Linked DNA regions of Alligator mississippiensis. The protein of the gene in region 3 interacts with the protein of the main gene of each other region in a pairwise test. Links are inferred from orthologs where the notes say so. Each region holds a gene or a part of one and is shown on either strand. Other genes may lie near its edges. The genes, in order: FOS, IPCEF1 and CYTH4.

Region 1 (7,025 bases), on a different chromosome or scaffold from region 3:
CAGAAAAGACTCCAGAGCAGCTCTCACATTTGACTTAAATGCTTTTTATTGACAACGTCTCTGAACAATAATAAGCAAACAATGCTTAAGAGTTTCATCCAAGTTCACTTTCCACATGTCCAAAAAAGACCTCAAGGTAGAAAAAAATAAAATAAAAATATAAATATCTGAGAATCCATCTTCATAAATAAATTAAAATGCACAATAAAAACGTTTTCATGGAAAACTTATGTCAGAACATTCAGACCACCTGGACAACGCATGATCAGTAAGAGAACAATGAATATTGATGTTGAGCTACAGTACATGGATATAGCCATTTATCTAATCTACTAGAAAATAAAGGAGAGTCTCTTTTTGCCCCCCCCCCCCCCCCCAGTTAAGATGGGTCATTGCTAAGTCATCAGAACACGATATTGCCAGGGACACAGTAGTTATTGTTAGATCAGCTGCACTAGATAACGAGTTGGAGAAACCCAGCACCAGGTTAAATTCCAAGTCATGAAACCAAGAGCTATTCATTAATTAATGCTAGTGATACTAAGGAGGGAAGGGGAGTCACCAACCCAGCCATGTTGGACATGCTACAGACTACCAGCTCTCATGGATGGGGCACTGGGGACAAGACGAACTCCATGCGATTGATTTGCTACATCTCTGGAAGAGGTGCGAGGCCTCCCCGAGCAGCACCCCGCAAGGTCCTGGAGCGCAGGTCCGGGCTGCCCCTGCCCAGCTGGGGTCGAGAAGGAGGCGGAAGCCCCCCTCAAGCAGCAGCAGCAGGGGGCTGGGATCCGGAGTCCGTGCCCTGGGCCCGGCTCTCACAAGGCCAGCAGCGTGGGGGAGCTGAGCGAGTCGGAGGAGGGCTCGTTGCTGCTGCTGCCCTTCCGGTGCGCGGCCGCACAGCTGGGGAAGGCGTCGGCCTCGGGGTAGGTGAAGACGAAGGTGGAGGTGTAGGCGCTGGGGCAGGGCGTGCAGGTCACCACGGGCGTGCAGAGCGGCTCCAGCTCCCCGCCAGCGCCGGCGCCCAGCGCCTCCCAGTCCGCCGCGTAGAAGGCCGAGGAGCCGGCCAGGTCCATGTCGGGCACTGAGCGGGCGGTCTCGCGGGACGAGTGCGGGAAAAGGAACTCGTCGAAGGGCTCGGCTTTCAGCTCCAGCCCGCTGGCCTTGGGCGGCTCGGCCGGGATCGGGGCCGGGGCTGGCTCAGGCATGAGCGGCAGGGCGAAGGCGGCCTCCTCGGGCTCGGCCTCGGCCTGCGGCGGGCTGGGCACTGGGCCCAGGTCCATGGAGGCAGCCGCCAGCTCCTCGGGGAAGCGCAGCTCATCGGGGATTTTGCAGGCAGGGCGGTGAGCGGCCAGGATGAACTCCAGCTTCTCCTTCTCCTTCAGCAGCCCCGCGATCTCGCTCTGCAGCGCTGACTTCTCCTCCTCCAGCTGGTCCGTCTCCTGCGGGGCAGAGCGTAGCGGGCTCAGGCGGCGCTCGGGAGCCGCGCCGTCGGGGCAGCGGAGCCCGGCAGGGCCGGGGGGGGGGGGGGGGGGGGGGAGAAGGCCGGAGCCACTTACCGCTTGCAGGGTGTCGGTCAGCTCCCGCCTGCGGTTGCGGCATTTGGCAGCTGCCATCTTGTTCCTTTCCCTCCGGATCCTCCGCTTCTCCTCCTCCTCGGGGGACAGCTGGGGAGAGGCACGAGCGCCCGTCAGTCCCGCTGCCAGCCCTGCCCGCAGCCTCCGGGAGAGCCGGGACCGCGCGCCCAGACCCCGTTAATCCCCCCCTCCACGGCCGCGCATTCATTCACCTGCTCGACTTTGCCCCTCCGGCCAATGCTTTGCCCTCTGCCTCCGGTGGCCTTGACGACCGGAGCCCTGGAGTAGGTGCTGGCGGGAGCAGCAGGGACGCCGTAGGGGTGAGCCCGTGTCTGCGACGGGGCCACGGACGAGATCAGGGTAGGCTGCACCAGCCACTGCAGGTCGGGGCTCGTGGAGATGGCGGTCACCGTGGGGACGAAGTTGGCGCTGGAGGCGGCGAGATCCGTGCAGAAGTCCTAGAGACAGGGGAGGAGAGAAGCGAGGGTGAGCCAGAGCCGCAGGGAGGCAGCGGGACTGAGCCCGCACCCCCCCAGCCCCAGCCCCTAGAGGCTCCCGAGCGGCCCCCGGGGCCAGGCTGGCTCGAGCGCTGCGCTGCCATCAGCAGACTCCACATGAAAAGGGGGTTGTTATAAATATCTCTGACGTCTGCACTGACGCAGGCGCCGCTCCGGAGTCTCCTCAATGAACTCCCGTTTTATCAATGAAACCGCTTTACACACCCGCCGCAGAGCGCACAGCGCAGCCCGGCCCGCGGTCCCACCCCCCCACTGACCTTCCCCAGGGCCGGGCAGCATTCCCATGCGGCCCCGTCCCGGGGCTGGGCTGCAGCGCTGTCCTCCCCAGTGCACCGGGCGGAGCAGGGCACCCCGGGCAGCTCACGCCCGTCCAGTCGGTGGTCCCCGCGCCCGCAGCTTCCCCCCCCCCGCCCGCCCCTCCCTTGCACCGCTGCCCCGGGGCTCACCGGGGGGTTGGCGGGCGATCCCATGCTGGAGAAGGAGTCCGCCGGTGAAGGGTAGTAGGAGAGGCTGTCCCCGGCCGGGGAAGCGCTGCTGCAGCGTGAGGAAGCCGCGTCATAGTCAGCGAAGCCCTGATACATCATGTCGGCGAGGCTAGGATTGTACAGAGCCCCCAAGTGCGTTGTGCCGACTGTGTCCGCGCTCGGCGTCCCTCGGGCTGCGGAGGGGGGGGGGGGGGCGTCTCTGCCGGCTACGCGTCTGCGCTCCGAGCCCGTCTCCCGTTCACTCTGCAGCGCTCAGCTGTGGAGTAAAGCTCGGCGCCTCCGCCCCTTTATAGTCAAGGCTGGTGAATGGTCTTACATCATGGGCGGAGCCAATCCGTTGGGCGGGGGAGCCGAGGACAAGCTGCCCTTGTGGCCTCCCCGGAGCCCCCGCGGGGCTTTCTCCTTTCTCGTGCACCCTCGACTCGTCTGTCGCGCTGTGTCACGGGGGTTTTCCCCGGGGTCTCTGGGGCTCTCGGCTCCTCAGGGGCGGACAGAACTTCGGATCCCCCCCGTCCGCTTTGGTACGGCCGGCTCGGGAACCCACTGACGCAGATATCCTTATATGGGATACATCCTGTGCAAGGGGGTGTGACTGACGGGAACCGCTCCAGGCTGCAGCCAAGTGCGGCTGGTTTGAGAGAGAGAGAGAGAGAGAGAGAGAGAGAGAGAGAGAGAGGCGGGGGTGGGGGGAGACAGGGAGGAGGAGAAGGGCAGCTGCAACAGCAGTGGCTGTGTTTGCACTTTGATCAGTGCGGTGCATGGCAACGCCAGGTCCCCTGCTGGGGGGATACCCAAGAGGGAGCTGCACTGCTGCAGTCAGACCCGACCCCCCCACCACCCCCAAGCCTCCCCAGAAGAATTCTGCTGCTTATAGAGACACCTTGCAGCTCTCACTCACCTTCCACAGCCAGGGAGAACTTCCTCGGCCCAGCTCCTCCCATCAGCTTCAACTGCTTTTTCACAGTTACTGCCACTATTTATTGGTGGTTTTGAATCGAAACCAGCTTGTCACTTTTCCACACATTTGAAAATAGCTCCCTGCCCAAAGAGTAGCTCCGTGGTCTCATCTGACAAAATGTGGAGGAAGGCTGGGAAGGGGAAATGCAGCATGAAGGCAAATGGGGTGACTTTTTTTACTCCTGTCAAAAAATATGGCATATTTTTTCATGTTATAGTAGCTTTCTTGCTGTCTGTGACAGTGGTTAGAGAAAAATAATCACCCTTATAGGGTTATAGAGTTATAGAGAAGTAAGGCTGGAAGGGGCCTCCAGAGTAGTCCAACCTCCTGTCTGACTGAGGCAAGATCATCGCTATCCAAACCATCCATAATCTAAACTCTACATAAGGCTACCCTCAACCCTGACACAACCAGACCTAACACCCCTTATGATTACTTAGTGGTTATTGTGTTCTGCTGGGGGAGACTTTTATAGCAGAGAGCTGAAACAGTTGCTGATGATTCAGGACAGGCTACTAGTTGTGTGTGTGTGTTGGTTTTGTGACAGTCTGACTTTTGCCCTGATTTCCCTCCCCCCTGTGTATTTAAGCAGGCAATGTTTTCTACTAAATACTTTTAAGAAATGGTACAGTATATCTCACATTTCATTTTGGAGGTGTTTAGGATTTAAAGTCATTAAATGCAGGCATTATAATGAGGCCATTAATGCTGTGCAGATTTATCGTAAATTAATTCAATTTCCTCCATCCATGTAACTATGTTGTGTTGTTTGGTTCTGCCTTCATAGAAAGTCTGGAAGATGTCTTCTGCCTACGTCTTCAAACACATGTATGACATCTAAAGTGTTGGAGAAAACGTGACATTTCTGGAGGGGAGGCTGCACAATTTTGTGTAGTGTCAACTTGTGACTGGGGAAACTTCATTTAATAAACTGCTCATATTTTATTTTCTTTCAACTTTATACCCACTGTAACTGTTGGGGAGTCCTAAATGCCTCTCACTCATTTTTGCTGTGCTGGGTGTGTCACTACATTCCTCCTCCAAGATACTCTGATCCCAGTTCAGTCTGAATCCTAATGATTAGATCGGGAGAGAAGCAGATTGCAAGGGGTAGTTTCAAGGGAGTGGAGATGAAGAGGCCAGTGATCATCACACCCCATGGTAACAAGGTGATCCTAGGAAAGAACAATGGTCACAGGTTGTGACTCAGTTTCCCTGATCCCTACTGAACTGGCCAAGGGCTCCTTATCTCAAAGGAATGGGTAGGAACACAGCAATCTGAACCTGAGCTGTATAAAACTCCCCCACACAAAGGCAGAGGGGTGGAAGTCTGGAACTTGCTTCAAGCCCTGAGGACTCATTCACTCGCCACCAGGTAGTGAGTGAGTATGTCTGTATATTCTCTGCTGTATGGAGCTGCTCTGGTTAATACTGTCTGATTAATGACATCCCAATAATTCCATATATAGTTTGGAGAAACTTCCTCTGGCTTCTCTTGTACTTCTCTAGATAAAATAAAAGCCCTCAGAGACATCCTGGGTATAACATAAAAGAGTGGTGTTATCTAGGGATTATTTGTGTTTAAGGCCTGATGTTAAGATCTATATAAATCAGTGGAAAAACTATTGAGTATAGCAGGGTTTGGATCAGCCCCATTCTGTGGGAGCGGTTCAGTCCACCCACAAAACTATCCCTTCACCTACACCCCTTAGAAGAGCAATGTGTAGTATCCACGCAAGCAGCAGCTCCAGTCTGTGTGAATGCAGGAGAAGCCAGATCATTTCCCCATTGAGTTCTATGTTTAAACCGATTTTCATTACACCCTAAAATCCAACAACCTAAGCTAAAAAAAAACAATAAAAACCCAGGAAGGTTTGCTGTGAGGGCAGGTGGGGATCACTCATGGAAGGCACGTGCACATTCCTTGTTAATAAATCTGGGTGGCTGGCACAGACGGTTTTCTCTGCACAGATCTGGCTGGGGTATGGCAGAAAGCACGTGTGGACAGAACCTGGAACTTACTCCACTTCCTGCGGGGGGAAGGAAATTACATTCAGGCATGATTACTTATGTTCTTACTATCTAGGCACAATAATAGCTGAGAGGGAAGACTCCAGTATAGGGCACTGGGGTAGGGGTTGGGGGGTGGAGTGCTACAGGCTGGGCTTCTCCAGGGAACTCCCCAGAAAGCTGAACGGGATCCGGGAAAGCGAAGGGACTTTGAGGACATGGCCAAGGAAACCTCTGTCCCCTCCCCTTTGTTTTGATCCTTGTTTGTTGCAGGGCAGGCCCAAGACACCCACCCACAGTGGGGATGTCAGGCAGGCCTGGCTCAGGTCAGGCTCAGCCGGGAGCCAGACCGCAGACTCGCCTTGCTGTGGAGCCAAGAGATCGCTATAGATAGTAACAGGGAAGCTGGTGTAGCGAGTCTGTTTACGGCAACAAACAGCCTACAGCACAGTCTCCAAGCAGAGTGTCACCACACTGGGCTGGATGGAGTCCTGCTGGCAGCCCTGCCACTGCCTGAGCTCATGGCTAAATGCAGCGCCTGATGCTGCTACGCGGTCACCTCCATTCTTAGAGATCTGGGCCACAAGGGTGGGGGAGCTGGGCCAGCTGCTATTCCTGAGCTGCCCGGCAGAGCAGAGGGGACAGCCAGCCACTGAGGAGAGATCCTTTCCCAAGGCAGCCAGGAGGCTTCCCTGAGCTAGGGCTGAGCTGCCTGGGTCCCAGGGGAGCTGGGCACCCCAGCCTCAGGGCTGTGAGAGCCTCGCAGTACTCTGCTTACCAGCCTTGGCAGTATCCACAGCTGGTTGGACTTTCTGAAGCCAGAGGTCACAGCTGGAGAAGCCCACAGAGTCCCATTTAGTCCAGCCCTGAGGCCCAAGACAGACCAGACCCTAGCAGAGCAGAGCAGAGCAGAGCAGGACTCCATTCCCATGTGTGAACCCCAGCAAAAAAAGATAGACCAAAGAAAACTCCAACCCAGAAACTACACCTTGATGGCACCAAGCTGAGCAGCCAGTGTCCATATGCCCTGCTATACCCTGCTGGTCTCCCTGCCTGACACCCCGTCCTTCCCAGAGGAAGGAGTATCCTCGGAGAACTCCATTCTTGCCAGGAGTCTCTGGCAGGCATCATGGGAGCTGCCTGCCTCGTGGCACTCAGTCAGGCCCAACTCTAAGTGCAGGTCTTCTGTGCTCAGAGGAGTCTTCACTTAGAGGAGTCTGGCACTCAGCACTGAGCTGCCTCTACAAACCATCAAGGAAGGTTCTAGAAACCATCGAGTCCATGTAGGTGAGTTCACAAAATATTTGTTGACATGTTTGTTTTGGTCGTGCACATGGAAGCCAGCCACCTGCTCTGTTTGCAGCAAACGGAAAATGTGCTGATGCTGCATGTATGTAGCATGTGCCGAGAAAGCCAAGGAAACAGAGAAACCGAAAACACATGACGTGGGCTTGTTGTTTCCTTCTAGTGCAGCGCG
Region 2 (7,873 bases), on a different chromosome or scaffold from region 3:
GCTGGTAACGTTCCTCCATTCCTTCCTTGGAAAAAGTTGTTTAAGAAGAGCTTGAAAAATTGAGAGATCTTTTTGTTTTTACTAATGAGGTGATAACTGCTGTGTAAGCCCCTGCTGGCTCCCTTGCTGACCAGCAAGAAGGGGTGGGGAACCCTCCTTAATCAGAGCATCCTGCCTCAGCTCAGTACTGTGGAATGAAAGGGAGGGCTGCTCTAGTGCCCCCCAGCTTCTAGCCGGAGCCACTGCAGGCATGTGCCTGCATTTTTTCAATCCAGAGGGGATGTCTGTGTGGTTACATGATTCAGCCTAGGCTGGTTAGACTAACCTGCAAAGATCGAATCAATTCAGGCTCAGGCTTTTTGAATGTCTGTCCCTAGCCCTCATGTCCAGAAACAGAGGCTTTCTTATAAAATTTTTCATCTGCTCAAATTTCTGGACCAAATTCATCTTAGATGCATTTGTACATCAAGCTCCTTTAGTCTGAAGGCTTTACCTGTCCTCAGAAAGAGTCTTTGTGTAATACATTCCTATTATCCTGCATGTTCACTCCCTTAGAGATTCTAAACAGGAAACTGAAAACAAAAGCTAGCGTTTCTCTAGCAGTTCTGAGGTCAGGGATTGAGAGGAAATCTGGGTTCTCCTGACAAAAAAGCTTACAGGGAACTTCCACAAGGTGGCAGCACCTAAGAACATTATGCTGCTGTTAAGTTAATCTTTTACATTGCTGTATTCATGGGAGTAAAAGGTCAGTAACGATGCTCTGCTGGAAGGCAGCAGCATGCTCCAGTTAAATGCAAATAGCTACATGCCAGTGTTGCTACACAAAACTGCTTACTTAATAAATGCACCCCGTGTATGCATAAATACACTGAGCACATATTGCATAGTAGTATATTTTTGAAGCAAATAGAATTTTTTCTAGACCTATCTTTGGATCATCTGCCTTAAGTATTCAAAAAGAGCAATTCTCTAGGATTTATCTGTAGCCTGACCCCATATAACAAATGTAAAGCATTACACAACATCACCTCTTCTAGCTGTGATGTGTTTAGCTATTAACTACTTTCTAAACCGTGAAGGATTTATAGCATACACATAAGTCCTGTTTTATTCAGTGTGTTATAGCAGGAATGACTACCATTAAAAATATTACTCATGATGTGACAGGTGGTTCAGTGACCCACCTGAGCCAAAGGAGAGATTGGGTGGACCTACTACTGTCAGGCAGAGTTCAAACTACAGAGAACTTTTATCAAGATGCTCCCTTGCCTGGTCTCTGCTCTGAATGCCAAAAGGGTCAGGATAACAGGTACTGCTATTAATACATAAAGGGAGTTAGAAAATAGCTTTTGTATATGTTCCCATCCACTGTGGGTGGCCAGACCTTGTTAGAAGCTGGTTAAGATGGAAGAGTGTTGAGTTATATAATGTTTTAAAAGTTATTATTGGTGTTACGCAAAATTATCAAGAGAGTAGTAGTTATAACCAGCTCTAAATTCCCTGAATAATATTCAAGTTAAGCATTTAATAATCTTTCCTAGTTCTACCCTACAATATACACAGGAGCTATGAATAAAATCAAACATGCCTAAATATATACTCATCTTAAGAGCCTGGAGAGGGGAGGGGAGGGGGGGAATGAAAAAAGTGTCACAAAAATCAAAGGTCCTGGCTAAATAAATATAAAGATCATATATCAGCATAATGTAAGCAATTGTAATCTACTACAGTGGCACTCAATCCTTTGCCCCCACCAGCCAGTTGAGAGGTGTCGGCCCAGTCTCTGGGCCAGATCAGACCCCATGTGCCAGGATTGGGCTCTGAGGGTGCCATCCCACCTCTGCCTGGTCCCACACGTTGGGATCAGGCTCTAGGAGCCCTGTGCCATCTCCATCCATTCCCATGTATGGGTATTGTGCTCCAGGGGCTCTGCACTGCCCCTGCCTGACCCTGCACACCAGGATCAGGTCCTGTACTACCCCACAGGCCCAATCTAGTGCGCAGAGTCACGGCCCATGGATGACATTGCACTGGAGGCTGGATAGGGACATGAGATGGGGGCTGAACACCACTAATCTAATACAAAGCTCCATCTCCTATAGATCTCAACTTCTGCAGTAGTGGAGTTGACAATCTAGGGAACTCATTTAGCCCCAAAACATAGCACAGCTAAGGTGTGGAATAGTGACATCAAACTACAAATCACAAACCTCTCTTATACAACTGCCCAATATCACAAATCAAACTAAGCATGCCCATCTGACAGAAAAAGAAACACAGGAGAACTATATTGTTAAGAAAAATACCAAGCAAAAAACCAGTAAATATCCAGGGAGAAAAAAGTATACAAGAATCTTAGAGATGCTAGAAATGTATTTTAAGAATTAACAGATTCTACCAACCTCTACAACAGCACTTTATAAAGTAGTGATCACTGTCACTGCCAAAAAAACAAAGGAAAGATACCAATGCAATTGCCCTTATGCAACAAAATGATGGTATGAAGTCAGCAGCACGTTACAGTCTCACTAAATAGAGAGCAATCCCACCCTATTCCCCCTTAGTAATACTTTATGGGTTCTTAACCTCAGGTGTTCTCCATAAAGTAGGAGCCTGACCAAGAAATTAGCTTTTTGTTTGCATTGGAGGTCAGTCAGAGACCTTTGCAGGATCAGAACTTAAGTGGTTGGCATTGACTTGACATATAGAATTTTGGCACTAAAAATTGAGGTACCTTTGTGATGAAGGACAGTCCAGTTGCTAGACTTCTATCTAAGTACCCAGGGATGCCGCTTTTCTTGCCTTCTCCATCACAGACTGCCTCTTGAAACACTGAACAAGCCACTTAGTTTCTCTTTGGCTAAATTTTCCCTAAGATGGGGATATTAACACTTCCCTGCATCATCTATAGATACCATGAAGATAACCTGTTACAGACAGCCAAACTGTTGAGAGGCTATAATTTGGAGGCCCACACAAGCACCTTAATCAGTTAGATAGCCATTCTACAGTCATATTCAGTCAATGGCAGAGTCTACTTCCTGACTAGCAGAGTAAGTGGGGAAATTTAAAGAGAAAAGGGCATGCTACAGAACTATGGTGTGTCACGTGTAAAGGTTTATCAGGTGTTCTTAACAGGTAACAACTTTAAGAAGGGCGAAGGCTCTGGAAGGAGCTGTGTCAGCAAGATGGGAAGCACCTGATGGGGCTTAACCAGGAGATAAGCCCAAGGCCAGAGCTGGGGTAGGCAGTCTCATCCTAGCTGCTGACATCCTGGCCCTGAGCAAGCAGCAGAGGGAGACTCTACTCTCCCAGGGGTTAACAGAAGGCAGCCTTAGAGCTGACATAGGGTCAGAGATATGCAGACACAGGGTGCTGCGATGCCCCTGAAGAGAGACACTTATTGAATGGGACACAGAGCATGATTAGCAACATCTGTGAGGCATGGGCATGGTGTAAGGGTCAATTGGAGTCATGTACTGCACTCAGTAGTGACACCTGAACAGTAGCATGGGATCAGGGATCTCTGGGGCAGTCTCCCTTTCCAAGGATGGAAACAACCTTGGAACAAGGCATGGCAGGTGAGGTGAAGGGGAGCAAGCCTGAGAAGCAAGAGCAGAGCAGGGGCCAAGCAGCCACCAGTGTTAGGGACAGACATTCAAAAAGCCAGAGCCTGAATTGATTCAATCTTCGCAGGTTAATCTAACCTGCCTAGACTGAACTGTTCTGCAAGTGAATAGATACTCAGGAAATACAGGCACATGCCTGCAGTGGCTTAAGCCAGAAGCTGGGGGCGGTGCTAGAGAGCACCCTCAGCTGCAGGGAAGCTGTGCTGGGGTGGGGGGAGGAAGAAGAGGGGGGACATGGACAACCCTGGCAGTAGCTTCAGGGGATCTGGCCAGGGAGGGGGTTTAATTCTCCACTCCTGCCCCATCAGCACAGACCCAAGCTGGGGTCCACCTGGCACTCCCCTCTCACTTTTGCAGTGGTGGAGGCAGGGGCAGGGCCAGACACTGGTCAGCATAGCCCTCTGAGGCAGAGGGAACAAGAAGGGGGTTTATTCCCTACCTCCACCCCCTTGGGACCACAGCCAGGGTCTGTCCACCCCGACTGCTGCTGATCACTCCCTGTGTGGGGCGAGCAGTAGAATAAGCCCCCTCCCTACCCCCTCCACCCGATGCCAGAGGGAGGGGAGAAATAATCCCCCTCCCTTCCCCCTCATCTAAGGGGGCCATGCCAGCTGGCCTCTAGCTGTACCCCAGCCCCTGCTGCTGGAGTGGCAATGGGGAGTGACCCTGGCAGGATAGCAGCCCCTCTCATGGTTTCCTGGGACATCAAGGCTCTTCCCAGCTGGGGCCTATGCTTCAGGCGGCGGCAGGTAGAGCAGGGCAGGCAGAGCTGCCACAGACTGGGTGGGGTAAGCACCGGCACCGGGGCTCAGAGGGGTGGCAATAGCCCCCCAAGGCCTCCCACACACTACTGCCACTTGCCCCATGCAGTCTGCAGCAGCTCTGACCGCCCTGCACCACAGCGTCCCCCACCAGGAAGAAGCTTTCACTCCCTGGGAAACCATAAAAGGGGTTCTTGCCCCCATCACAGTCCCTGCCCCTTTGCCACTCCAGCAGCAGGGGTGGCGGCATGGCCAGAGGCCGGCCAGCATGGCCCCTTCAGGCAAGAGTGCAGGGAGCGGGTTATTTACCCCCTCCCTCTGGCATCTCATAGAGAAGGCAGGGAGGGGGCTTATCCCACCATTTGCCGCATGCAGGCAGTTGGGGCAGGCAGACCCTGGCTGCAGTCCCCCAGGGACAGAGGGGCTGGAAGGGAAATAAAACCCCTTCCTGGTCCCTCTGCCTCAGGGGGCCAGGCTGGCCGGCATCTGGCCATGCCCCCACCTCTGCAGCAGCAAGTGGGGAGTGCCAGGTGGACCCTGGCCCAAGTCTATGCTGGTGGGACAGGGAGGGGGGAAATTAAATTCCTCTCCCTGCCAGTTCATTTGAGGCTACTGCTGGGGCTGGACACATCCCCACCACTGGAGCAGCAAATGGAAAAATGCCGGTCAGGGTCTGCTGAGCTCCTGCCTGTTAGACCCTGCTGGGGTCCATGATAGTAGGACAGGGGAGGGACAGAGGGAAAAACCTTTTCCCTGACCCCTTTGCCTTAGTGGGGCCAGCGTCTAGCCATGCCCCTGCCCCTGTCCACCGCTGTTCCAGCTAGGGAGCAGAGAGCACAGCCTCACACAGGGCTACAAAGCATGTCAGGATGCTGGGGGACTCTGGTTTAAGTTAAACCAGCTTGAGCTCAACCAGTTAAGTCTGATACGACATTCAACCAGGTTTATATTAAACCATTCTCAGCCATTTTGAAGGTGGTTTATGTGCACTGAACTTACGTTGTGTTACAAGTTTAAACCAGTTTCTGGTCACTTGAACCGGTTTATGTGTAACTTCTGTGCCTAGCCCAGGGGACATTGTGGTCACCCCTAGGAACAGTGCTTTGGTACAAAAGGCTAAACCCTTCCCCCACTACCCCACCTAAAATAGCTCATTAGCCTGAAGACTTCTACGATCAACTTCTCATAGAAGTTCCCATCCAGTGGCTATTCAAATAATACTTTGCCTCTCCATTCAGATCTCAGAGCTCATCAGGAGAAGATGACAGAATCCATGTGCAAAGAACTTATGTAAGGAAAAAGTAGGGTTTCTTGCCATGACCTTCCTTGTTGGGCAACACACCCATCTCCCCCCACTCCCCTTCCCCACCCCAAATCCAGGAATATTCCCATTTATTGTAAATTCCTCTGCCACAAAACCTCTTTGAACATGAATGGTGTTTTATCTATCTATTCAATACTACCACAGAGAAAAAACTTCTTCCACTTTCTAAAAGGATTTTATTTTACCTGCTGTCCTTTCTCCAATTTTACCCAGGAAATATTTGGATTTGTGAAGCAACTACTTGGTGGCAACTGCTATTGGTCCCCTCCCCCACTGGCCCATTTGAAACTCATTTGAAGACTCAAATGTGTCAATCAGTAACCAGGAGAAGCAGAAACAAGAACAGAGCTATGACATAGGCTAGGAATGGATGGGAGGACTGAGATAGCTAGACATAGCCTTACTAGCTTTACACTGTAAAAAGCCATGTATTACAAATACTCTGAGTTTTTACTGACCATTTAAAAACTTCTGACAGCAAATGGCCTCGGAGATTTTACAAATAATTAATCTTTGCCTGAACTGCTGAAATTTACCATGGAAAGTGAAGTTTCTTCATGCCCCTTTCCCACTGCAGTACCATTAAATATTTATATTATCACCTGAAGCCTTCAGCCAGGATCAGGGTCTCATTCTGCTGAATAAACAATAGAAGACATGATCTTGCCTCAAAGAACTGACAAAAGCAAGCTTGAAAGGGCAAGTGAGTGGATATTTGTTTTGTGTAACTTATGGCCCTGTAACGATGATGGGTGAATCCTGTCCATACATACCTGAACCAAGCCATTTTAGGCCTCTGCCAAAATGATGATTAACTGAACTCTAGAGTATTTAATAAAATTGATTATTTTTGCATGTATCATTAAAGACAGGACTCAGACTCAAAGTGGGGAGAGTTGTTTAAAGTTGTGTAAAGCCCCTGCTTATAATCTTGTATCTTTCAATTAGAGCCAAGAAAACTGGTTTTCAATTTCTTTTCTTCTGTGATCTGCCACAAATAGCAAACTCCCCCTCCTCCTCCTCCCCCGCTCCAGTCTTCCCAGTTGGTATTGTTTATGTGGACATACAACCATGGCAAATTCCAGAGCTATATTTTGTGGCTTTCTGACTCGAGGATCATTCTGAAGTAGTTCTCATTGGCTATTCTTCCAGCTAAATATTTACACACACATATACACTGAGCATAACTTTTACTTATGTGCATGGGCAAAAGCTCAGCATATTTCACATAATTTTTTAGAGGCTACATGTGTTTCACATCATGACAACATGTTGAAAATATGTGCCTACAAAACACATTTTAAATGTATTTATACAAAACACTGTGTGCTTATGCTGGAGGTGTTTGCTATATATAGAAAAACCAAAGATTAGATTTCCTGTTCTCATTCCTTTCCTTCACAATCCTGTCTCATTATTAATCATTTTCAGGCTCTTGTTATGGCTTATTTGTACATTAAATTTAAGTGAGATAATGTTTATGTTTAAAAAAGAGCATAAGGAAGCAAAAAAACAATTGATGTGGTAGTAGCCCCTGAGCAAGCAGCAGAGGGAGATGTTTCACCCAATTCACTTTTAAAATGTGACCTCCTGCTCCATATATAAGGACCTATCAATTAAAAGGCCATTTCTGATAGAACCTGAAAGCATAGCTGAAACAATTAGAGTGAAGAATGATTATTAAATGCATTTGTGGTGGGTTTAAAATCTTTTTTTTAAAACAAGTTGTTTCATAGTTGGTAGGGTCGGAAAGGACCTAAGCAGATCATCTAGTCCGACCCCCTGCCATGGGCAGGAAAGGATCCTGGGGTCAAATGACCCCAGCTAGGTAGCTGTCTAGCCTCCTTTTGAAGACCCCCAGGGTAGGAGCCATCACCACTTCCCTTGGAAGTTGGTTCCAGCTCCTAGTCACCCTGACTATGAAGTAGCGCCTCCTGATGTCTAGTCTGAGACTAGAAATGTGACTAGAAATAAATAATGTGACCTTCTCCTCACATACTGGAATAGTGTTATAACCTGATGCAGTCACAATTCAGTTCCTCAGCTTTTTAAAATTTGGTTGATTTGGCTGTTGCTTTTGCTTTATGAAAAAAACCATAAGGGATCTGTAAAGTCATTGAAATCTCCCTCTGTGAGAGTCAAGAGTATTTGTTCATAAC
Region 3 (8,056 bases):
TTTTAAGTGTTTATCCCTCTTCACCTCCAATGAGTACAGCCTTTTGATGAGACCAAGGACTTGACACACTTTAACCCAATAATGAGTACTCTCTTCCACGGTACTGTTACAAACCCTTTCTTTTCCAATTTATTATTTACTCATACATCTAGTTCCCACAATCCTTAAGTGGGAATAAACTCTCCACGGTAAGCTTTGAGTGGTATCTGTTTATCTCCTCCTATCGGTGCCTTTTTTTAGAATTGCTAACGGTGTTTCTCACAACTCCTTGACTTGTGAACCAGTGTCCAATTTAAAGGTAATAAGTGCCTTGTTTGCTTTCAGGTTTGTAGTCCCCTCATCTTGTGCTGCAGCCCTATCTACCACTCTTGTGAGAAATTCATATGAGCTAGAGAGGACACTCCTTTTGTCCATGCTGCATGTTCTTTGCTGGCCTACCATACTCTTGAAAAGGGCTGTAACCTGTTGCAGATTTTTTCCATCTCCTCCCATTTGCTGAGCATTGCTGTGGCTTGAGCAGGTTGCTGCAGCATGTTCAGTTCCTCATGCTGCTGTTCATGCTGGTCTCTGACTTTTGAGTTCCCTGTGTTTTTCTGCTTCACATCTCTTTTTTGTGGTATTTTGGAATCTCCATCATATTGCACTGTCCACACTCTGCACGCCTCATTCTGGACAAGGTGATTCCCATTCCTGGCAACCTTAAGCTCTTTGCTAGGAGTTCATTGTGGGCCTTCCAGGAATCCCTTTCTGATTTTTTTTTTTTTTTTGTTCAAAATCCCAATGTAGTTATCCCTGCAAAAATTGCAACAACTTTGGCCTCAGATTACCCCACTACAGTTTCACATTCCTGTTGTCCTCTCTGATAAAAGCCACATTGTTAGTATGTTTCTTTTTTACTTGGAGTACAGTAATCCTCAAATTTCTGCACTCCAGTTTCATAGTTAGGTCTCTGCCTGAGTTAATTGAAAACTATTAAGCACATCAAGGACCGTTGCCAAAAATAAGTCTTCCCCTTTACAGTCATCCACTGCTTCTGGGGCAGAGTAACGTGCTGTTTGAACTTCTTCCAGGGGCCTTCCACATTTCCAAAGACTATCAGCAATTTGGGACCAATAATATATATATTATCAACGTATTTTTTCCCTTTTGGTGCCATGTGGTGTTCAGGCATCACTCTGAGACAAAGCAGGTTGTGGCATCAGCTTTGTTTGTGGTCTCAGCTGCAGCTGCCTTATAAAAAATAGGCTCCTACACCCCCTCCCCAAACTTCCTGTCTTGGATGCCAAACCACATAAGGACACAATTTCCAGTGCCACACTCGCTAGTATGTGCTAGACGTCTAGCTGCATTATAAAGACACCACATGGTTCCACAAAACAGATGATCTTCTATCTTAGAGCTTAAGCCTGGAATAGTAGAACATACATAGAATTTCTCCCCTTGTAGGTAGTGGTCAATGTCCCTTTTTATATATTTTTGTTAAAATTTATGTCCATATAACCTGCTGTTGTGGTTCAGTGGTAAAACCCTTGTTCTGTCATGCAGGAGACCTGGGTTTGGTTTCCCAGATGTGCATGTAACTACAGTCATTGAGGTTCCAGATTTGGTCTGGCCTTTGGATACTGTCTAAAGGGGGATGGAAGGTCTAGACAGCTTCGACTTCTCCATACTCCTGCCTAGGTGTATGCATCAAAGGTCCTGATGACATCTCATGCGTACACCATGGTTTAGAAGGATTGACAGTTGTTTACTATTGCTATGCCTGTATAGAAGGGACGTGGTGATTAGTGAGCGCACCTGCTCTTTTGGGTTGGGTCAGGAGCCAGGAGTGCGTAGCAGAAGGTGCTGTAGAGCCAGAGTGAGGTGTATTGGCCAATAAGGCAGTGCGAAATTTTGCCACCAGTTTTGTTTTGACTCTGTTTCGACCTGTTTTGAGGTTGAAACAGCAACATCAAAATGAAACAGATACGGCCAAAACAGCTTTGAAATGAAATGAGGCAAGTCAAAACGTTTTGCTGTTTCGATGCTGTTTCAACGTTTCGCCCATAGGCTATAATGGGGAAGGTCAAAACAGCCTATAGTTTTGCCATGTCTAGCCAGATTTGGATAAAACTTGCAGAAATGGTAGCTTCTTCTGAGGGCATAAAGAGTTCCAAGTTTCAAGAAGATAGGTGCAGGGAGATTGGAGAAACTGCACCCCAAAATCCTGAGCCAAATGTGTCCTCTGTATGTGTTAAGCCACAGGAGGGTCAAAACTACAGGAATGCTAGCCCCTGCTGAGGCCAGAAAGCCTGCTGTGTTTCAAGGAGATAGGTGCAGGGGGTTCAGAGAAACTGCACCCCTAAATCCTGAAAGCAAAACTCATGTCACATGTATATGTTAAGCCACAGCAGGGTCAAAACTGCAGGCTTGCTAGCCCCTGCTGAGGCCACAAAGCCTGCCAAGTTTCAAGGAGATAAGTGCAGGGGTTTGGGGGAAGCTGTAACTCAAAGCTGCAGACAAGCAAAACTCGTGACATGGGTGACACTGTGTGTGTTAGGGCACAGCAGGGTGAAAGCTGCAGGGGTGGTAGCCCCTGCTGCAGCCACGACACCTGCCAGCTGTCAAGGAAATCAGTGCAGGGGGTTTCTGGGGCCCTGCACCTCTAGCTGCTGACAGGCAAAACTTGTGAAATGGGTGCTTGTGCAACTGACTGAGTCTGTCTTGGGGCCGTTGATTGTATGTATTGATTATTTCCTCTCCTTAGTCTGTGGTTTTGTAGGTGTTAATCCATGCTTGTTAAGTTGTTATGTAGTAGCTAGGTCCTGTGTATTGAGCTAGTCCCTGAGTGAATCATGATTAATTGGTAACTGGTAACACAGTAGCTTAGCAGCCAGGCCTGCAGTAGTCCCTCCCCCACCCTCCAGTGCCCGAAGACAGACACAGGTGCACAAGCACCCATGTCACGAGTTTTGCTTATCCACAGCTTGAGGTGCAGTTTTCCCTAAAGCCCTGCACTTATCACAGGGGTGGGCAATTATTTTGGGCAGAGGGCCACTTACTGAGTTTTGGCAAGCCATCAAGGGCTATATGACAGGCAGCTCAGGGCAGATTAATATTAATTTTCTAAATTTTTTAGGGGCCCTGCAGGCCAGATAGAATGGCCTGGCGGGCTGCATCCGGACCCCAGGCCACATTTTGCCCACCTCTGACTTATCTTCTTGAAATCTGCCATGTTCTGTGGCCTGAGCAGGGGCCACCACCCCTGCAGTTTTCAGCCCGCTGTGCCTTAACACACATAGGGTTATCTATATCACGAGTTTTGCCTGTCAGCAGCTTGAGGTGCAGTTTCCCCCAAGCCCCTGCACCTATCACCTTGAAACTTGGCAGGATTTGTGGCCTTACCAGGGGCTACCACCCCTACAGTTTTGACTCCACTGTGGCTTAACACATACATGTGACATGAGCTTTCCTTTCAAGAATTTGGGGTGCAGTTTTCCCCAAAGCCCTGCACCAATCTTCTTAAAACTTAGCAGGCTCTGTAGTCTCAGAAGGGGCTAGCAAGCCTGCAGTTTTGACCCCGCTGTGTCTTAACACATACACATGACACAAGTTTTACTTTCAGGATTTTGGGGTGCATTTTCTCTGAACCCCATGTACCTATCTTCTTGAAACTTAGCATGCGTCATGCCCTCAGAAGATACTACTATTCTTGCAAGTTTCATCCAAATCTGGCCAGAAATCACAAAATTGTAGCCTGTTTCAACCTTCCCCATTATATCCTATGGGCGAAACATCGAAACAGGGTCAAAACAGCAAAACGTTTCGACGGAACGAAATGGAACTGCCATTTCAACTCAAAATAAAAGTCAAAATGAAACACTGTTCTGTCAAAACATTGGTCAAGATGAAATGTTTCTGCTTCACACAGCCCTATTGGCCAATATGTCAAGACTGGAATAACAATGGGTGCTACATGCCACAATTGAAATGCATCAGGGTGGGGTATCCAGTCCTGGGGTGGCGTGGTATGGTTTCCTGAAAGTGAGCAGTGAATTCTTCAGTAGAGCTGTGTTGGGATCACGGTACTGGAACAGTAAGCTGTACACCAGGACAAAGACAGGGAAATGTGTGAGATACAGGTTTGGAGAGTGAGGGATTCAGTCGGTATAAATGAGGTCTGTCAGCAGAGCTCTCTATATGACTGGATTGATGGAGAAATCAGGAGGTCAAGACTGATCAGTGCATTGCTTGATCTATATGGGTCCCCTGCAGGGTTGTTCTGTTGGATCTCCTCTCACCTGAGGGACCTATAAATGGTAGCTTACACTGGACAACGTTTTTCACCCCCCTCCGAAAGGAAATTTGTAGCCATCTTCCTTGCAAGACAACCTTGACTATGGAATCTGAAGGGTGAAGACTGGTTGCTGATTCATCCTAAAGACCACAAGCTATTCACAGTCTTCCCTAGGGCTGCCTGGCTATGGTCTTCAGGATGCCAGTCACTCACAATCATAGAGTGTTTGATTCTTGGCAGGATGCCAGGCCAGTGTTAGGTTTAGAGGCGGTGGTTATACCATCTTGCTGTGTTGTTGACGGTGTTGGGAGGCTAAACTGGAATGGCCCAGAATGATACAGAGCAGGGTGCTGCTGCATTGTCAAAGCAGTGGGAGTCTTGCCAGGCCCATGCCCATTGGGCATGGAAAAGTGGCATCCTCTCAACATTTGCAGCTGTAATTTGGACAAGGGGAAAGCTTTGTGCCCAGACAGCCATACTCCTCATGTGCTAGATTTTTCTTAGTCTGTGCTGATTCTTTGCCCTGCTGATTTGGAAAGGGGGATCTCAAGGTGTGCACGCCAGCTGCTGAGCTTTCTGTGTGGGCATGAAGGCCCCTCCTGCAGAAGTTATGAGGGCTGTCACGTACAAAAGACCACGGACATAGCAACCAAGAGTGATTAGCTTAAGGGGAAGTGTGCAGCCTTCCGGGGCTGGAGAGAGAGGAAGAGAGTAAGTGACAGAGAGACTGACTGCTCTGCCAGCTAAAGCCCTCTATTTTTCATCAGAGCAGACATAGCTCGGGTCAGGTCAGTGCCAGCTCCCTCCATACTGGGACACTCCCTCCATACTGGGACAACTCTAGGCTCGATCCACTCCTTCCTGATGATGCTAGTCAGAAGAGAACGCATTTGAGATGGGAGTAAAGGATCCAGGTCATGTCATTTCATTGGCAACAGGAACCTACTGGAGGCCCACACAAATATTGGAATATTCATCCACTCTCTACCAATTGCTGAGCTACTTTGAGTTGTGGTAGGGGGGGAGTCTTTCTCCATCATAAAACCACACCCTAAGGCAGCTGTTTTATGCTCCCTCTGTCTCTAGAGCAGGCTGGATAAAACCAGAGCACAGTCACCCCCAGCAATGAGCTGAGCGAGTGCCAATGGAAAGACACACTGGCTTTCTCTTGTGGGTTTTTATGTAAGAAGTAACCGGAGTCTGCGTGCTTCTAACAGTCGGAGCTTGTAGTTTCCCTCACCCATATGAGCTTGTGGGGAGGAACCAGGGGGTGGAGCCGCAGCTCCTCCAGCTGACACAATTTTAGACTCTGGGGTGAAGTCGCATTAATTCTGCCAGACGCCTGAAAGAGCAGCGGGGAAAGAGGAACTCGCAGTCGCACAAAGAGAATTTGCCTCTGAGTGACATTTCAGCATGGATGTTTGTCCCATTGGTAAGTCTTTCCTTAAAGAGATTTGGCCACATCTTCTCCCTGCCTTGTTGATCAAAGTGCTGCTCATTCTGTAAATGCTGTCAGGTCAGATTGACTCAATTAGGGCTAGCAGCTGCCATGGGGATGGGACGGGTGAACATAGCCAAGAGGTTTCTTAGAAGCTCTGCAAAGGGCTTGTAGTTTTGTGGACGATGTGCTATAGGGAGAGGTGTCTTCTCTGTCGAGGTATTGGCTTCCCCCCCTACCTCCAGACAGTTCCTCCCTGACGTCAACCAGTGTCACCCTACCGACTTGAATTGGAGCTGGGTCAGAACTGTATTCAGAGGCTGACCCTCAGCCTAGGTAGGTGGCAAAAGGGTAGAGTGCAATTTTCCTGGCCCAAGCTAGGGTATCAGGAGTACGTGGCACTTGGGATGGTGGTCAACATGTGACTACAGACAATGGTTTCCTTTGATGTAGCCTCAGCGTGACAGGAATAGAGGTGCAGAAAGAGCAGACTGCAAATGCTACAACATAGTCCTCCTGCACCAGGCAGGGCTGATTCACCCTTGCACTGCACCCAGCATAGTCATTTCTACCAGGATCAGACCAGTGGACAGTGGCTGTAAATTACCAGTGTCTTCATGTGGTGCAAATCTGCACCGACTGTGCATTGCAAGTGACTACCTGGGGCACAGTAATAATAAATCAGCCCCCCAGAGAGGAGGGTTGTTAGCACCTGATGAAGCAGTCTGTTGCTGACAAATGCTTGTGCTTCTTTGAACCAGTCACTCTCTAGGACAGTGGTTCTGAACCTTTTTAGATTCAAGGACCCCTCAGAAAATGCCAGCTTTGAGCTTTCACTTGTTTTTTAACTACAGAAAAATAATAGAGCAATTCTTCTGTTGCAAAGAACTCAGGAAAACCACAATAGGTCAAAATATCTGTGACACTATGGATTCCTATTTTAAAATCTCTCTGCTCATCCTGTGAAGGTTTTTGCACACCTAACAGTGCTAATATTACATGGCACTGCAGGACACCCTTAAAAGTATATTGCAGTGCTCTGGTTGAGAAACACCAACCTGAAGTGCCACCCTGCCCTGCCTCTACCTGACTTTAGGATAGCACAGCTAAATACTTTTCCACCTGCCCCCACCCCCACCCCAAGAGAAGAAGAAAGATTGATCAGCCTGAATCTCTCGCTTTCCTTGCAGCAGTTGTTTTAGAGGGGTATAGAGAGGCAGAAGTAGGTGGGAGGAAATTAGCCACAAACCCAGGGGCTGAGAAAGATCAAAACTCTTTGATTTCCTGGTTTGCTGGGTGCAGTGCAGCAGACCTGGGATCTAGTAGACAAAGGTGCTCTGGAGGCAATCCCAAAAGGCAGATATTGGGTGTGACCCATGCTGAGAAAGGACATGAGGTTTCAAGGGAGAGGACACACTTTCTCCAGGGGGAAAAATACAAAGGATCTTAACACAAGGACACAGCTGCCATCTGTCTCTGATATCACCTCACATCCACATAGATGGCATAGCTAAGGCCATGAACAAGGAGTGGGAGCTGAAAACCCTCTGGTCCCCACGTCAAATCCTGCACCAAGGGGCCCGATTTCCTTGAAGTTCTCTCAAGCTGTTGCAAGAGAGGCTGGGCACTGAGCGCTTCTCAGTCTCTGGCCACTTCCTTTAGCTGTCTAAAGGGGACTAGAGTTCTTAGGAAAATCAGGCCCTTAGTGCCTGAAAGGAAGTGTTGCAACCAGCTCATAGACTAGCAAAACCAGGGCAGGGAGAGCCCTCACCTCTCTGTACAAAGCAGGGACATATTTTTTTCAGGTTAGTTGTTCAAGGAAAACGTGGCTCTCCAAATGCATTGTCTGCCATGTAAGGGAAGTTGTCCTACTTTTGTGAATAGACAGAATGAGTTCTTTTTACCATTTGGGATTTGTCCTGGAGTGGTGCCCCAGTATCCTGTGATGTTAGGCGCTGTACAAACACAGAACGAGATGATGGACCAGTTGCAGAAGACCTACTTTGAAGCAGTGCAAAAATGCCTAGCTACCCCAGGACCACAGCTAGCCAGCACCACTTCAAAAGCCAGCCTCACTCTCTGTGTCAGAGGCATTGTCTAGGGATCAAGAGATTACATTGATTTGGTGGCTCATTCAGTGATAAAAGCTTGCTGATCCGTAGTTTTTGGAGAAATTGTTCTGCCACCAGTGGGCCTCAGCTTCCATCAGAGTCCATGGCTGAGGTGGAAAGGTAGACACATTCACCTGTGCTGTGGACTTACACTGGGTGTGCTGCTATACAAGAGAACTGTATGCAGATGGAGACGTTGGTTCCGTTAGGTGAGGGAGAGTCAGCTTCTAT

The links.
Region 1: the proteins of CYTH4 (region 3) and FOS interact in a two-hybrid assay, tested with the Homo sapiens proteins (2 studies listed by BioGRID and IntAct). The two-hybrid records come from large-scale screens. The link is inferred for Alligator mississippiensis from reciprocal best matches to the Homo sapiens genes CYTH4 and FOS.
Region 2: the proteins of CYTH4 (region 3) and IPCEF1 interact in binary tests that used the Homo sapiens proteins (3 or more experiments, as listed by UniProt). The link is inferred for Alligator mississippiensis from reciprocal best matches to the Homo sapiens genes CYTH4 and IPCEF1.

What each region holds. Positions count from the first base shown.
Region 1 is NC_081825.1:261,360,797-261,367,821, reverse strand, and holds FOS (protein c-Fos), read right to left. Parts: upstream 3,025-7,025; 5' UTR 2,680-3,024; coding exon 2,542-2,679; intron 2,036-2,541; coding exon 1,790-2,035; intron 1,668-1,789; coding exon 1,560-1,667; intron 1,443-1,559; coding exon 819-1,442; 3' UTR 29-818; downstream 1-28. UniProt on the Homo sapiens protein: Nuclear phosphoprotein which forms a tight but non-covalently linked complex with the JUN/AP-1 transcription factor. In the heterodimer, FOS and JUN/AP-1 basic regions each seems to interact with symmetrical DNA half sites.
Region 2 is NC_081824.1:133,246,754-133,254,626, forward strand, and holds the start of IPCEF1 (interactor protein for cytohesin exchange factors 1), read right to left. Parts: upstream 3,011-7,873; 5' UTR 2,735-3,010; intron 2,507-2,734; exon of another isoform or gene 2,403-2,506; intron 1-2,402. UniProt on the Homo sapiens protein: Enhances the promotion of guanine-nucleotide exchange by PSCD2 on ARF6 in a concentration-dependent manner.
Region 3 is NC_081827.1:100,459,836-100,467,891, reverse strand, and holds the start of CYTH4 (cytohesin-4), read left to right. Parts: upstream 1-5,027; 5' UTR 5,028-5,689; coding exon 5,690-5,708; intron 5,709-8,056. UniProt on the Homo sapiens protein: Promotes guanine-nucleotide exchange on ARF1 and ARF5. Promotes the activation of ARF factors through replacement of GDP with GTP.